Linked DNA regions of Drosophila melanogaster. The protein of the gene in region 2 purifies or fractionates together with the protein of the main gene of each other region. This does not show direct contact. Each region holds a gene or a part of one and is shown on either strand. Other genes may lie near its edges.

Region 1 (3,391 bases), on a different chromosome or scaffold from region 2:
TATTCTGGTGCTGAACAAAGTCGATCTGCTGGGCGCCAAACAGCAGAAGAGCGTGCTCCAGCAGCTGAGGAGACAGCAGCCCGAACTGCAGCACATCCTGTTCACCAACTGCAAGGATCAGCGCAACAACGGCGTGCTGGACATCCTGCCCCTGGCAACGCGCCTCGTGAGCGAGAGCAGTCGCTTCAATCGCACCCAAGCTGCCGAGCACAATCTGATGATCATCGGCGTGCCCAATGTGGGCAAGAGTTCCGTGATCAATGTGCTGCGAAATGTGCATCTCAAGAAGAAGAGCGCCGCACGCGTGGGTGCCGAGGCGGGTATAACTCGATCCGTCGGCGAACGCATCAAAATCCAAGAGAATCCGCCTGTTTACATGATCGACACACCCGGCATCCTCCAGCCCTCCATTAAGGATGATGAAATGGGCATGAAACTGGCCCTGGTGGGCTGCCTTCCCGATCATATTGTGGGCGAGGATCTGATAGCCGACTATCTGCTGTACTGGCTGAATAGCCACCGCAAATACGACTACGTGGAGATGCTAAAGCTCAGCTCCGGACCCAGTGACGACATCAGCGCCGTGCTGGCGGAGTACGCTCATCGGGAGGAGCTATTCCACAAGGTCAAGCAGTACGACGGACGCGTGGAGGTGATGACAAATTTATTGGCGGCCGCGCGAAAGTTCATTCACTTCTTTCGCTCCGGCCAGTTGGGTCACATGAATCTGGACGAACCCAGTGGTTTCAGATAGCTATACATATGTATGAATTAAACTTAGGGGCTTAGATTAAAGACTGAACAGTCGATTCTGCTCGCGTCCTTATTGATTTTCCGCCATGGGCACATCGATGGCAATGTCGCCAACGCCGGGCACGGGAATCGAGTACGAAACACTAGCCAAATCGTCGGTATCATTGGCTAGATCCATGGGTGCATGGTGCTGCGGCGCCTGGTCCACCTGTGGCGCGATTCCACCAAGATGTCCAGCCAACTCAGCGGACTGATCCACCTCCGGCGGCACTTCGACGGGCGCACTGCTAATGTGCGGATAACTGGTGCGCGAGGCCGCCAAACGCAGCTCCTCCGGCACGCCCTTCATTCGCATCGCAATGTGACGGGAGTAAGGTGCCATCTTCTGGAAATAGTCAATCAGCATTTGCGGATCCTTCTCCACGATCTGTGCCGATGGCACCAAGTCGAACTCGTCGCAGAACTGCCAGCGCACCAGATACTTGATGTCGCCCGTCACATCCGTTGCGCCCACGATCTCGGCCAGCTCCAAGCCGCGCTCGTAGCCGCGCAGCTTCTGGATCTCTTCGCACTTGGGTTTCTTCTCGCCGCGCTTCTTGGACTTGGCGCGCGACTCCTCGAATTTCTGGATGAGATTCGGGCAATCGCAGTTCTCCTCGGGCTCCCAGGTGTTGTCCGCCGACGTGTAGCCACGCCACTTGATGTAGTACTCAACCTTGCCTTCGCTGGTAATGCGCTTGTCCATGATGCGCTCCACCACGAAGTTGGGCTCGTTTTTAACCATTTTTTATTGTGTTTTTACAAGATTGTTTACAATATTTAAAATCGGCTTGGTTTTTTTCACTAGTGCCAGTGTGACCGTTTGCTGACTTCAACAACAGTTACAATAGCAACATACTTCTGACAGCATAGAAAACGGTCACACTCGCACGCGCTTGCAATTCGAATTCAGGTGAAATTTTAAAGCTCAGGTGCAATGGAATCCGAATCCTCGCAGGATGATTGGTCCGCATTCGATCCAATGTCCAGGGAATACTATGACCAAGTGGGCAACCGTTACACTAACGAGTCTGGCCAGAAACTAATCATGGAAGCCCCGCTGCCGCCAAAGGACGAAAAGGAGCAACGTGCCACCAGGCAGGCGAAGTATCCATACTTGGTGGTTCCAAAAAGCAGTCCCTATGTGACCGAAAAGATGCTAATCAACTTCTTCGGTCGGGCGCTCATCAAGGAGATGGAGTTCCGCCGCTTGTCACGCGTATACTTTGTCTACTTTGAAAATATCGCGTGAGTTTCTTCAAGCACTTTCGCAGGTCATTCAATATTTCGAGCGTATAATCCTTTTTCCAGATCCCTGGAGACAGCGCAACAGCGGGTGCAGCGTTACCCGAACCTGATCAAGTGCATCACTGGTCGCCCGCAAAAGGAGCGGGAAATCACCAGCGATCCGGTGACTTCCACTGAGCCAATGCCAACACCAGGCCCAGCAATTTCGGCCACTGAACGTACGCCAGTGAATCACAACAGAGAGGTTCCGATCTCGACCGGAGGACAAAATCATCCGGAGTTCTTCCGGCCACCGCTGGTCACCAAAGATGATTACAAAAGAGGTTCATTGTTGGCCACCAACGACCCCATTCAACGCTATCTCAATGTAAAGTACGAATTCGCACTGGAGCGCCATGATATCTACAAGCTTAAGGATGAGACCAGAATCCCGCAGGTCGTTCTGCACTTTCGTTCGGGCAGAACGATTCCTTTGTTAGTATAGCCACCTGGTCACGTGCCCTTGATTAGCTAACGAGTATAGTTTCTGCATCACTCAGGTCAACGGTTGCTGTCACCGAAGAGGATAAAACTAAAAGCCTGCTGGAAGACGGCGTCAGCAAGTGCGTGGTTTGTCAAAACTGGACAGACACTTTCTGCAAGCTGTGCAAAATGCCCTTCTGCAATGCCTCCTGTTTCGCCGATGTGGCAGAGCAGCATAAGCAAGCTTGCGGCAAGGGTGAGATACTTAACCTTGACGAAAAGGTGGGCCGGAAGTACCCCAAACCCGGCTTGCCGCCGTCTGGATCTAAAGTGAGAATTACTGCATTCGAGCAGACTAACGTGGTCTATGTGCGCTCGGCGGACATTCAGATTGACATCGCCTATTATACAGTTCTCACGGAGGTAATGATGCTGGGCAAAGATGCCTCCAAACTGCAGAGTACGCCAGTCTGCGGACAAATTGTGCTCTACAAGTTCGAGGGACATATGTCGCGCGCCATGGTGCTAAACGTGGATAATATCAAGGAAATCTATGTAGTGTTCATTGATTTCGGAAGTGTTGAAGTCACGCAGCTGGAAAGACTGTATGAATGCAGTTCGTATTTAGCTGGTTTGACCTGCTATCCCGTAGCCGTTAAATTACGCGGAGTTCCCAGGCGCTTTGTGGGTCCCAACATAAGGGAAGTCATGTACGAACTCGACCAGTCCCTAGTTTTTAATATCAAGTACTCGTCACGTGAGTACGATACCAGCAAGGGCATGCAGGTCGTGGTGATGACCGAGATCGATATTAATAGGAGCCTCAACCGCCTTTTCAAGACCATCCTAACTCCTGTTGAGCCGTCTGTCTCGGACTTGGGATACAAAG
Region 2 (4,782 bases):
TTTTTGGGTGGGGTCTTCTCATCTAAGACAGCTAGTGGCAAGATCTCAGAAGTGACCTCCGCAAAGGAAAGTTCTGCAGAAGGCTGCGGGTGAAGTGCCTCTGTCTTTACCTCCTCCCAAGGGCTTCCATCGGCGTGTAATCGATTGCCTAAACGAACGCTACGTCGCATTCTCTTAACATCTCCCAAGGGAGCGTCACCCAATTCCTCCTGCTCTGTTTTTACCACGACAAGGTCGCTTAGTTGCTGCTGATCTATCGGTTCATCCGGGAGTTTCCTTTTGCGTCCTGGTTTCTTCTCCCCTAATGAATCCTCGCAGGGTAAAATAACCTCACTGGTTTCCACCTCGGCATCGGGTCTTATTTTCCTGGCTCGACCCCTTCCTCGCTTCGGAGCAGGAGCCGAGTTTTCCTCAGGAGATAATGCAGTTAATGACGGTTTGTCCGGTTCACTTTTCAACTGCAGTCTGACAATAGCAGTATTATCGTCCAGTGTGAACCTCTCCAGATGGCTACTACAATCCGTATACTGCTCCGACTTTCCAAATTTTTTATTCTCCACCTGAACATGTTCATCAGTAACTGAAGTGGGCGTGTCTATGGGTCTGGGTGTTCTTCGAGACCGTCGCGTTCCACCGGGCGAAACTTGTACCTGCAAAGTACAGAGACTCATTGAATGTGCCGACTAAAGAAGTACTCAGGATAATATTATATATTATATAATATAGAGACATACTAACTAGAAGTACCAGTCCTCAAAGAAAGCTTCAAATGCCTTCATCGGTTGCCTAGACAACTGTTTCTACCAAACATAAGAGGTCTGTTGACCAAGAGGATGAATGAATGGATGGCTTAACCCTCTTAAAATTGGATGCAATTACTTCAAGTCTTTCTTGTATTCAAATCCCTCTGGAATTATGACAAACTAACAATTGTAATCTAACCTTTTTATGACCTAACCATATTAAACAAACAGCTGAACAAAAACAATGACATACATTAGAATATTTATGTATATAAATATGCGTACATCAATCATATGTACGTATGTATTTGATTAAAACTACACGTGAAACACTAGAAAGAAAAGAACTCAGCAGTCAAGGGCTAACTTCTAAATGAATTAACAAATAGTAACTTCTCCAACATAATACGTCTTTAATTTGTATGACATACAAAAAGTAGAGAAATGAAATAAATCCCTAACCTTTTTTATGATTGGTATGAACCAAAACAATGCCATACATTAGGATATTTATGTATATAAATATGTGTACATCAATCATAACTACGTATGTATTTGATTTAAACTACACGTGAAACACTAGAAAGAAAAGAACTCAGCAGTCAAGGGCTAACATCTAAATAAATTAAAATATAAAAGAAAAAGCAAGAATTTCGAAGCTGATACACACAAACACACACACATTTACTTACATTTTTATCAGCTAATGTCGCTGCTCCTGCCGACGTCGCTGCTCGCATTTGGTTGGTTGCGTCAGCAGCGAGTTTAACGCTAGCAGAACTAACAACAAGTGGAGATGCTACTGCTACCTCAATTCTTGTTGTTGTCAGTGGTTCTGCATTTGCTTCCAATTTTTGTGTTGCTGCTAGTATGGGTTCTTCTTCTTTCTCAGCAGCTTTTTTATTTTGCTGCTCAGTTTTAAAGCTTTCGTTTTCCCATCTCTCTGTCGACGTCGTTGCAATTTCCGTTGCGTGTTTCTCTGCACGCTCGTTGCTTTCCATCTTTACTGTTATGGATGTTGCTTTGCCATTCTGCTTTTTTTCCATTTCGGAGTCTTGTTTTGCGACATCTTGATCGTACTCCATTTCCTTCCTACCTTCTTCCTCTATTTCGCATTTTGTATGTGGTTCGACTTTTTCTGCATTCTGCGCTTCTTCTTCTTCCAGCTTGACAGCGGCCGCATCGACAACATCTGCCAAAAGTGCTTTGATGTCTTCGATTTCCTCTTGATTCCTTGCCTCCTTGCGCTCCTCCTCCTCCTTGTCCTTGTGCTTCTTTTCTTTACTAGCGAACTGGTTATTGGCCAAATTACGCCACTTGAGGGTTTTGTCTTCCGCCAAGTTCAGATTTAGCAAAGTACCACCCTCCGCTGTTGAAGTAGCACAGTCGCTATTGAATGTACTGGACATGCTGTTCATCAGCTCAACAAAGTCCGTCATCTTGCCTTAATTGTCACTATTTGATTACTTTGCGTATTAGTTTCTTTGATTTTCGATTTCAGGAGTCAATTTTCCATCTTTAAGCCAATAAAAACATAATTTCGCTTTCAGAACCCTATTTTTCCCGACAAGATTTGTGCATCGGTCGTACAAGCAGCAGCCTTTGTTGTTGCTTTGCTGTTCTGAATTTGCAACTATTTTGACACCGATATTTTTGAGTATAAATGGGCAAACATAAGGCAAAATAAAACATTTAATCTTTAAAATTTAGACATTAAAATCTGGTTTTTCTGCTTTATATTATGCTCTTTCTTTTTCTTCGTTCTGCCGGCAGCGAAGTCGACTGCGTTTCTTGGTGGTCACAGCTAAATTTTTTGTATCCTCTCTTTTTTTTAATTTCTAGAGAACAAAACGTAAAAATACAAAATTTCTCACTATATTTCTTACTATATATTTACTATAGTTTTCCACTTTTTCGTTCATTAATTGCCCTTAAGAAGCTCAAAATGTTTGCAGAAATCGCTGCTTTGCTGATTAGCTCACATGCTGTCAAATATTACACTCTCTCACATCGCTTCAACGCCAAGATTGTTGTTCTTGTTGTTTCTCTGCCGACGTCGCTGCTACTGCGTTTTTGTTGGTGTTGCAGTCACTGTTTTGAGATTTTGGAATTGGTAAGCTGCAAATTTTTCAACGAATTTACAAATGCTTGTAGTTTTCGTGGCTTTCTCTTTACATAGGCAACCAGTTCAATAACATTACTTTAGAAAAATATAAGAAAAGCACACGAACACACATACAGAACTGCGTTTTTGACGCACGCACACGCACGCACTTCGCGCTGAAAACTGTTATCCGTAAAGAACAGCAACAACACAACAACTAGAGCTGGCATGGCACAAAAATCGATGTTTATCGGACATGGCAACGCTGCTTGGAATGTGTAATCGCTAAAAGAAAATAGGGTGACACGGTTCCCAATTTAGCTATCGCTAATTTGATAGGGCAGCACTGGCAAAGGCGTGAAAACAATTGTTATTAACGCATCTCAATTTATTTTTTTCTTAATATATAATCGTTTTAGGCATTGTGTTTATTAAAGTTTAGCAAGATAGACCAAGCCACATATACTTACAGACGGCATAGTGCGAGGGGAATCCCACGTAGAATGTAAGAAAAATGCGCATGCGCGGACGAAGATTGCTTCCGATTATTTTGTCGCTTCTTTTGATCGTCCTACTGAGTCTCTGTTACTTTTCGAATCACTTGAGGGATTCAAGCCAGTCCCGCAAAAACGGTTTCTTGCTGCACTTACCACTCGAAACGAAGAGGAATCCATCTAACCCTAATACTCCGTTAAGTAATCTTCTGAATCTCACGGACTTCCACTACTTGCTGGCCAGTAATGTGTGTCGAAAGGCAAAAAGAGAACTCTTAGGTAAGTTCTTTGCTTTAATCAACCATTGTAAGGAATCCTTAATCATTTTTGTAATTCCCGATTAGCCGTTTTAATAGTTACTTCGTATGCCGGACACGATGCCTTGCGATCAGCTCACCGACAGGCAATTCCCCAAAGCAAACTGGAAGAAATGGGCCTGCGAAGAGTTTTTCTCTTGGCAGCCCTGCCTTCAAGAGAGCATTTTATAAGCCAGGATCAACTGGCCAGCGAACAGAATCGTTTCGGGGACCTTCTCCAGGGGAATTTCATCGAGGACTATCGCAATCTGAGCTACAAACACGTAATGGGATTAAAGTGGGTCTCTGAGGAGTGCAAAAAGCAGGCCAAGTTTATCATTAAACTGGATGATGACATCATTTACGATGTGTTTCATCTGCGCAGGTATTTAGAGACCCTCGAGGTGCGCGAACCTGGACTGGCCACATCAAGTACTTTGTTATCTGGCTACGTACTGGATGCCAAGCCCCCCATTCGCCTTCGAGCCAATAAGTGGTACGTTAGCAAAAAGGAGTATCCTCAGGCTTTATATCCCGCCTATTTGTCGGGCTGGCTTTACGTGACCAACGTGCCAACAGCCGAGAGGATTGTGGCGGAGGCGGAGAGGATGTCATTTTTTTGGATCGATGACACCTGGTTGACTGGAGTAGTAAGGACTCGTTTGGGTATTCCCCTTGAGCGTCACAACGACTGGTTTTCTGCCAATGCAGAGTTCATCGACTGCTGTGTGCGAGATCTCAAGAAGCACAACTATGAGTGCGAGTACTCCGTGGGACCCAATGGCGGTGACGACCGACTACTGGTGGAATTTCTGCATAACGTTGAGAAGTGCTACTTTGATGAATGCGTCAAACGGCCGGTTGGTAAGTCGCTCAAAGAGACCTGTTTAGCGGCGGCCAAATCTCGACCCCCTAAACATGGTTTTCCTGAAATAAAAGCGTTGCGACTCAGGTGACATCGGTTCAAGGACAAATGGCTTTTCATCCTTTAGCAACTATCATGTAAGGACTTTTTAAAAGGGGGTGATGAAGGAAGAGACAAATATTGGAAAAGGGATATGATACTCATCCTTGCATATATATATATATGCATTACAATAAATGTTTGCCAGAAATCGACTTTACATGAATTACTATACACCAGT
Region 3 (4,025 bases), 8.8 Mb from region 2:
GGGAAAGGTGACAATCTTTTGCCAGTTCAGACGCTGGATGACCACCTCACCTATCCACATGATTGGGATAAGCCCACTGGCAGTTTATTTGGTGATTCTTGGCAATTTCGGAGGCAGACGCTCACCCTTTTCCGTTCCGTAGGCAATTAGATCCATCTTGTTGTTCCACTCCATACGCTCCACAATGCAGGACATGTTGCGGGCGCCCAGCAACTTCATGGAGCTCGTTTGTGCCATCTTTCCACGCTAGAATTGGCTCGCGGCGTCTCTACTGTGCATCAAATATTTCAATATAATAATTTTAGTTTACACTTTGCCGGCTCCTGTTGCAGTCTATCGAATAATATTCCTGCTATCGATCAGAGATGAGCGGAAATAGTAGCTATTACAAATTGGTTTCTCCAATTCTTCAGTCATTTTTGACATTTTATTTGATTTTTGTCAAATGTTTAAACAAAATATTTGTATTAAAACTTCGGGACAGCGAGAAAGAATGTGTATTTATGATTGAAACTTCTTAGATATTTGTACTTATGCACGGCATGGCAAATTATCTGCCAGCACAATTTTGTTTTATTCGTACTTTACTTTAGTCTTACAAACCTACATAGTTTTAAAAGCTTTTGTTTGGAACACATAATGATTTGCGAAACAATGAAAAAATCGGGAAAATCTAAATTAATCGATCTTAATAACTGCCTGTTAGGAAAAAATCTCAAATTCTGGCTATAAAGGCGCTAGGTGGGCAGCACAATTGGCGTCTTTTGATTTCCACACAAAAATATTGGCAATTTCAATGTGTTTTTTTTTAACTTAAAGTGTTAGAAAGCTGGATAGTTGTTAAGATAGAAAGGTGGTCCTTCAGTCTGAGTCGTTCCTCATTGATCAGGTTAAGCGTAGTTTAGGCCAATTGTATTTAACACTGTGATGTTATATGCTTATAAAACATTTATGTGGGTCAAAAATAAAGGTAGATGTTAAAAACAATTTTACAATTGAACTTATAGATTAAGTATGTATATATATGTATATGTATATATGTATATGTATATACTACCGCTGACTGACGCCAGAACTTCAGTTTGTCCAATTTTTTTATCTTAAGGGCTACGCTACGAAATATGTATGTACATATATCGTATAAAGCCGGTGTGTATGTATCCACATAAGCGAGTGAATCCGAAACAGTCATCTGTATCTGCCACTCAACTAGTCATCCGCATCCGGCTGTCCGTTGTCCAGCTCACTACTCTCGTCCGGCTTGATATTCTCGTCTTGATTGATGCTGCCAATGGGGCTGGCCGGTTCGGGATCCTCCTCGTCACCGCCATCTATATTGCTGCCGCCACCGGTGGTGCCAACGCTGCCGGGAGCAGTATCATCGCCGGCCCCACTGCCGCCGACGGAGCCCAGGCCACCGGATGATCCCAAATTGACGGAATTCGTATTCCCATTACCATTGCCGCTGCCCGTGTGCCAGGTGAGGCGCTCCTCATAGAACTGTATGACCACCTGGGGGCATCGAGTGTTGGCCAGCTTGGCGGGCACAAGGTCGGCGTGATCGCTGCCCTTCCACTTCATGAGGAACATTAGGTGCCCGGATGAGTCGGTGGCGCCCAGTATTTTTGATGCCTCCAGACCGCGCTCAAAGCCGATCAGCTTCTTCTGCTCCTCGGTATCGTCCTCCAGGAAGCTCTTGCGCTTGCTGCGTATGGATTCGGGTGTGGAGGAGGTGGACAGGCGTTTCTTTGTCTCCTTCTTGTTGTTCTTCAGCGACTCCTCGAAGTTGGCTATCAGGTCTGGACAGTCGAGATTCTCCACCGGCTCCCAGGTGTTTTCGCTGCGCGGATAGCCCTTCCACTTTAGATAGTATTCCGTTCGTCCGTTCACCGTTCGCTTGTCCTCGACGCGTTCCACTGAGAATTCGGCCATTGTGCTTTTACGCTAATTGTGTTATTCCAACTGCGAATTTTGTTATTTTCTTGGCGTCCAAAACTTATTTATACGTGCGATTAAAGAGATTGAAGAAGAAGAAGAAATCAAGATGGCAACTCCATGGTCTCGCCATCGGCAACTATCGCTCTCTTGGCCAGTAAACGCATTTTAATTAAAAAGCTGAAACTTTAAAAACTTTACAATTGTAATTTTATCATTATCTCTTGACCATTTTTAAATTTTGACATATATATATATTTTTTTTAAATTACCCTTTCTACCATCCCTGTCAGCGATAACTCTCCAGAAATTGGACAATCGATAAACGGCCGTTGCGTTGCACGTGCGCTAGTTTTTAAAGAAATAAACAATATTACTAAGTACGATTAAGGAGAAAACTAAGCAAATATGGCCGAGTTCATAGCTGAGATGCAGGAGCGCCTGCTGCCGGAATACGAGCAGATGAAGAACTACAGCGTATTCACAGCGGATCAGGTCAGGTGAGAAATCCAAACGAATTTGGAGTCTGTGCCCCCATTTCATCCATATTCTTGCAGAGAAATCGTTAGCAGGCGGGAACGCTTGTTCCTTAAGATCAACAAGAGCCACCAGAGCATCACCGACTACCTGGACTTCATACTGTACGAGAAGCACATGCACATGACCATCGTGGACAAGGAAAAGAAGATGCACGTTAAACTCACCGGTCTAAAGGCCTCCATAGCCACGCGGATCATGCGCCTGTACAGAGAGGCCTTGGCTAAGTTTAACCACGACAGACGGCTGTGGAGCAACTGGATCAAGTTCAGCAGGAAGTCAAATCCTGTCGAGGTGGCGGGCATATACGAGAAGATGCTGCTGGTTAGTATTTGCCAGCCTGCTCACTTCCATTGATTACTTATCCATTGTTGTTATTCTTTTGCAGTACCATGGCGACTCGCCGGATCTTTGGGTGGACGCCGCCTTATGGCTGTACGAGTTCAATCGGCTCAACATCGATCGAGTCAAGGACATCCTGCTGCGTGGCTTGCAGAGACATCCGGATTCCGAGGCACTTAACAAGTGCTTCTTTGACATTATGCTGAAAGAGGCTGCCCTGGCCAGCAACGAACGCAATTTAGCCGAGAATACGCTCTCGGAACAGGACATCAAATTGGAACGCGTGGAGGCGGTCTACCGCAACAGCATGGCCAATATTACCCAATTGGACTACTTTGTTAAGCTTCTAGAAAGCTGTGAGGATCATCAGGAGCTGACGGGCAAGCTGCAGCGAATGATAATCGATGATATGCAAGAGAAGTTCCCCCGGGAGCCGGGCCTGTGGGATTTGCTTGCCCAGCGAGAGTTGCGCGGCTTTCATCTGGGCGACCTGGAGGAGGAGGACTTGGATACCAGTGACGAAGAGCCGGCCAGCAAGAAATCTCGTTCCGTAAATGGCCGCTCTCTCAAGCGACGCATTCAACTCTGCGTTACTGTATACAAATCGGCGGTGGAGGAGCTGCAAACGACAGAAATGTGGAATATGTATTTGGATGCCATGCTGGCACTCAATAGCGATGGAAAGACGGAGCGTATACTAAAGCAACAGTGCCTAGCGGATGCCTTGCAGGCGGGCCATCGCTCTCAGTTGATGGGCGTGAAACACTATGCCACATTAAGAAAGATGCTCTGCACTGCTCCGAGTGGAAGGGAGGCAGCTGTCACCATACTCACGGAAGCCCTGAAAAACGATTCATCGGTGGAGATGCACGAGCTTCTTCTGGCCACGCACATTCAAAGCGACAGTGAGCCCTTGATCTATGAGCTATTCAACAAGATCCAGAAGAGCATGGGCAGTGAGGCGTTGCCGCTGTGGCGCAGTGTCATTCTGTATTATCGCACTCGGCAGGATAGCTTGGGCGCACGCCGGCTGGATGAGATCTACGGTCTCGCCTGCAAGGCTGCGTGGCCGGAATTTGGTGAGCTGCGCTCCGATTATTTGCGCTATCTGTGGCAGGAGCGGTCTGTCGAGGAAGCACGCAAGGAGTACGCCAAGCTGGCCATTCTACCGCCCATGTCGTTGGCGCTGCACCGCCAAATGGTTCAGCTGG

What was found.
Region 1: the proteins of G9a (region 2) and HP1c purify together in Drosophila melanogaster (affinity purification with western blotting, with the first as the bait; one study listed by BioGRID). This does not show direct contact.
Region 3: the proteins of G9a (region 2) and HP1b purify together in Drosophila melanogaster (affinity purification with western blotting, with the first as the bait; one study listed by BioGRID). This does not show direct contact.

Annotation. Positions count from the first base shown.
Region 1 is NT_033777.3:22,743,863-22,747,253, reverse strand, and holds HP1c (heterochromatin protein 1c), read right to left. Parts: upstream 1,635-3,391; 5' UTR 1,538-1,634; coding exon 824-1,537; 3' UTR 755-823; downstream 1-754. Other genes in the region: CG17141 (uncharacterized protein), read left to right, coding at 1-754; vret (vreteno), read left to right, coding at 1,730-2,040, 2,104-2,514, 2,580-3,391.
Region 2 is NC_004354.4:244,250-249,031, reverse strand, and holds the start of G9a (G9a), read right to left. Parts: upstream 3,055-4,782; 5' UTR 2,183-3,054; coding exon 1,436-2,182; intron 651-1,435; coding exon 1-650. Other genes in the region: CG3038 (uncharacterized protein), read left to right, coding at 3,362-3,620, 3,686-4,593.
Region 3 is NC_004354.4:9,079,266-9,083,290, reverse strand, and holds HP1b (heterochromatin protein 1b), read right to left. Parts: upstream 2,038-4,025; 5' UTR 1,933-2,037; coding exon 1,210-1,932; 3' UTR 545-1,209; downstream 1-544. Other genes in the region: APC4 (anaphase promoting complex subunit 4), read right to left, coding at 1-50, 126-237; CG7246 (uncharacterized protein), read left to right, coding at 2,344-2,435, 2,493-2,796, 2,861-4,025.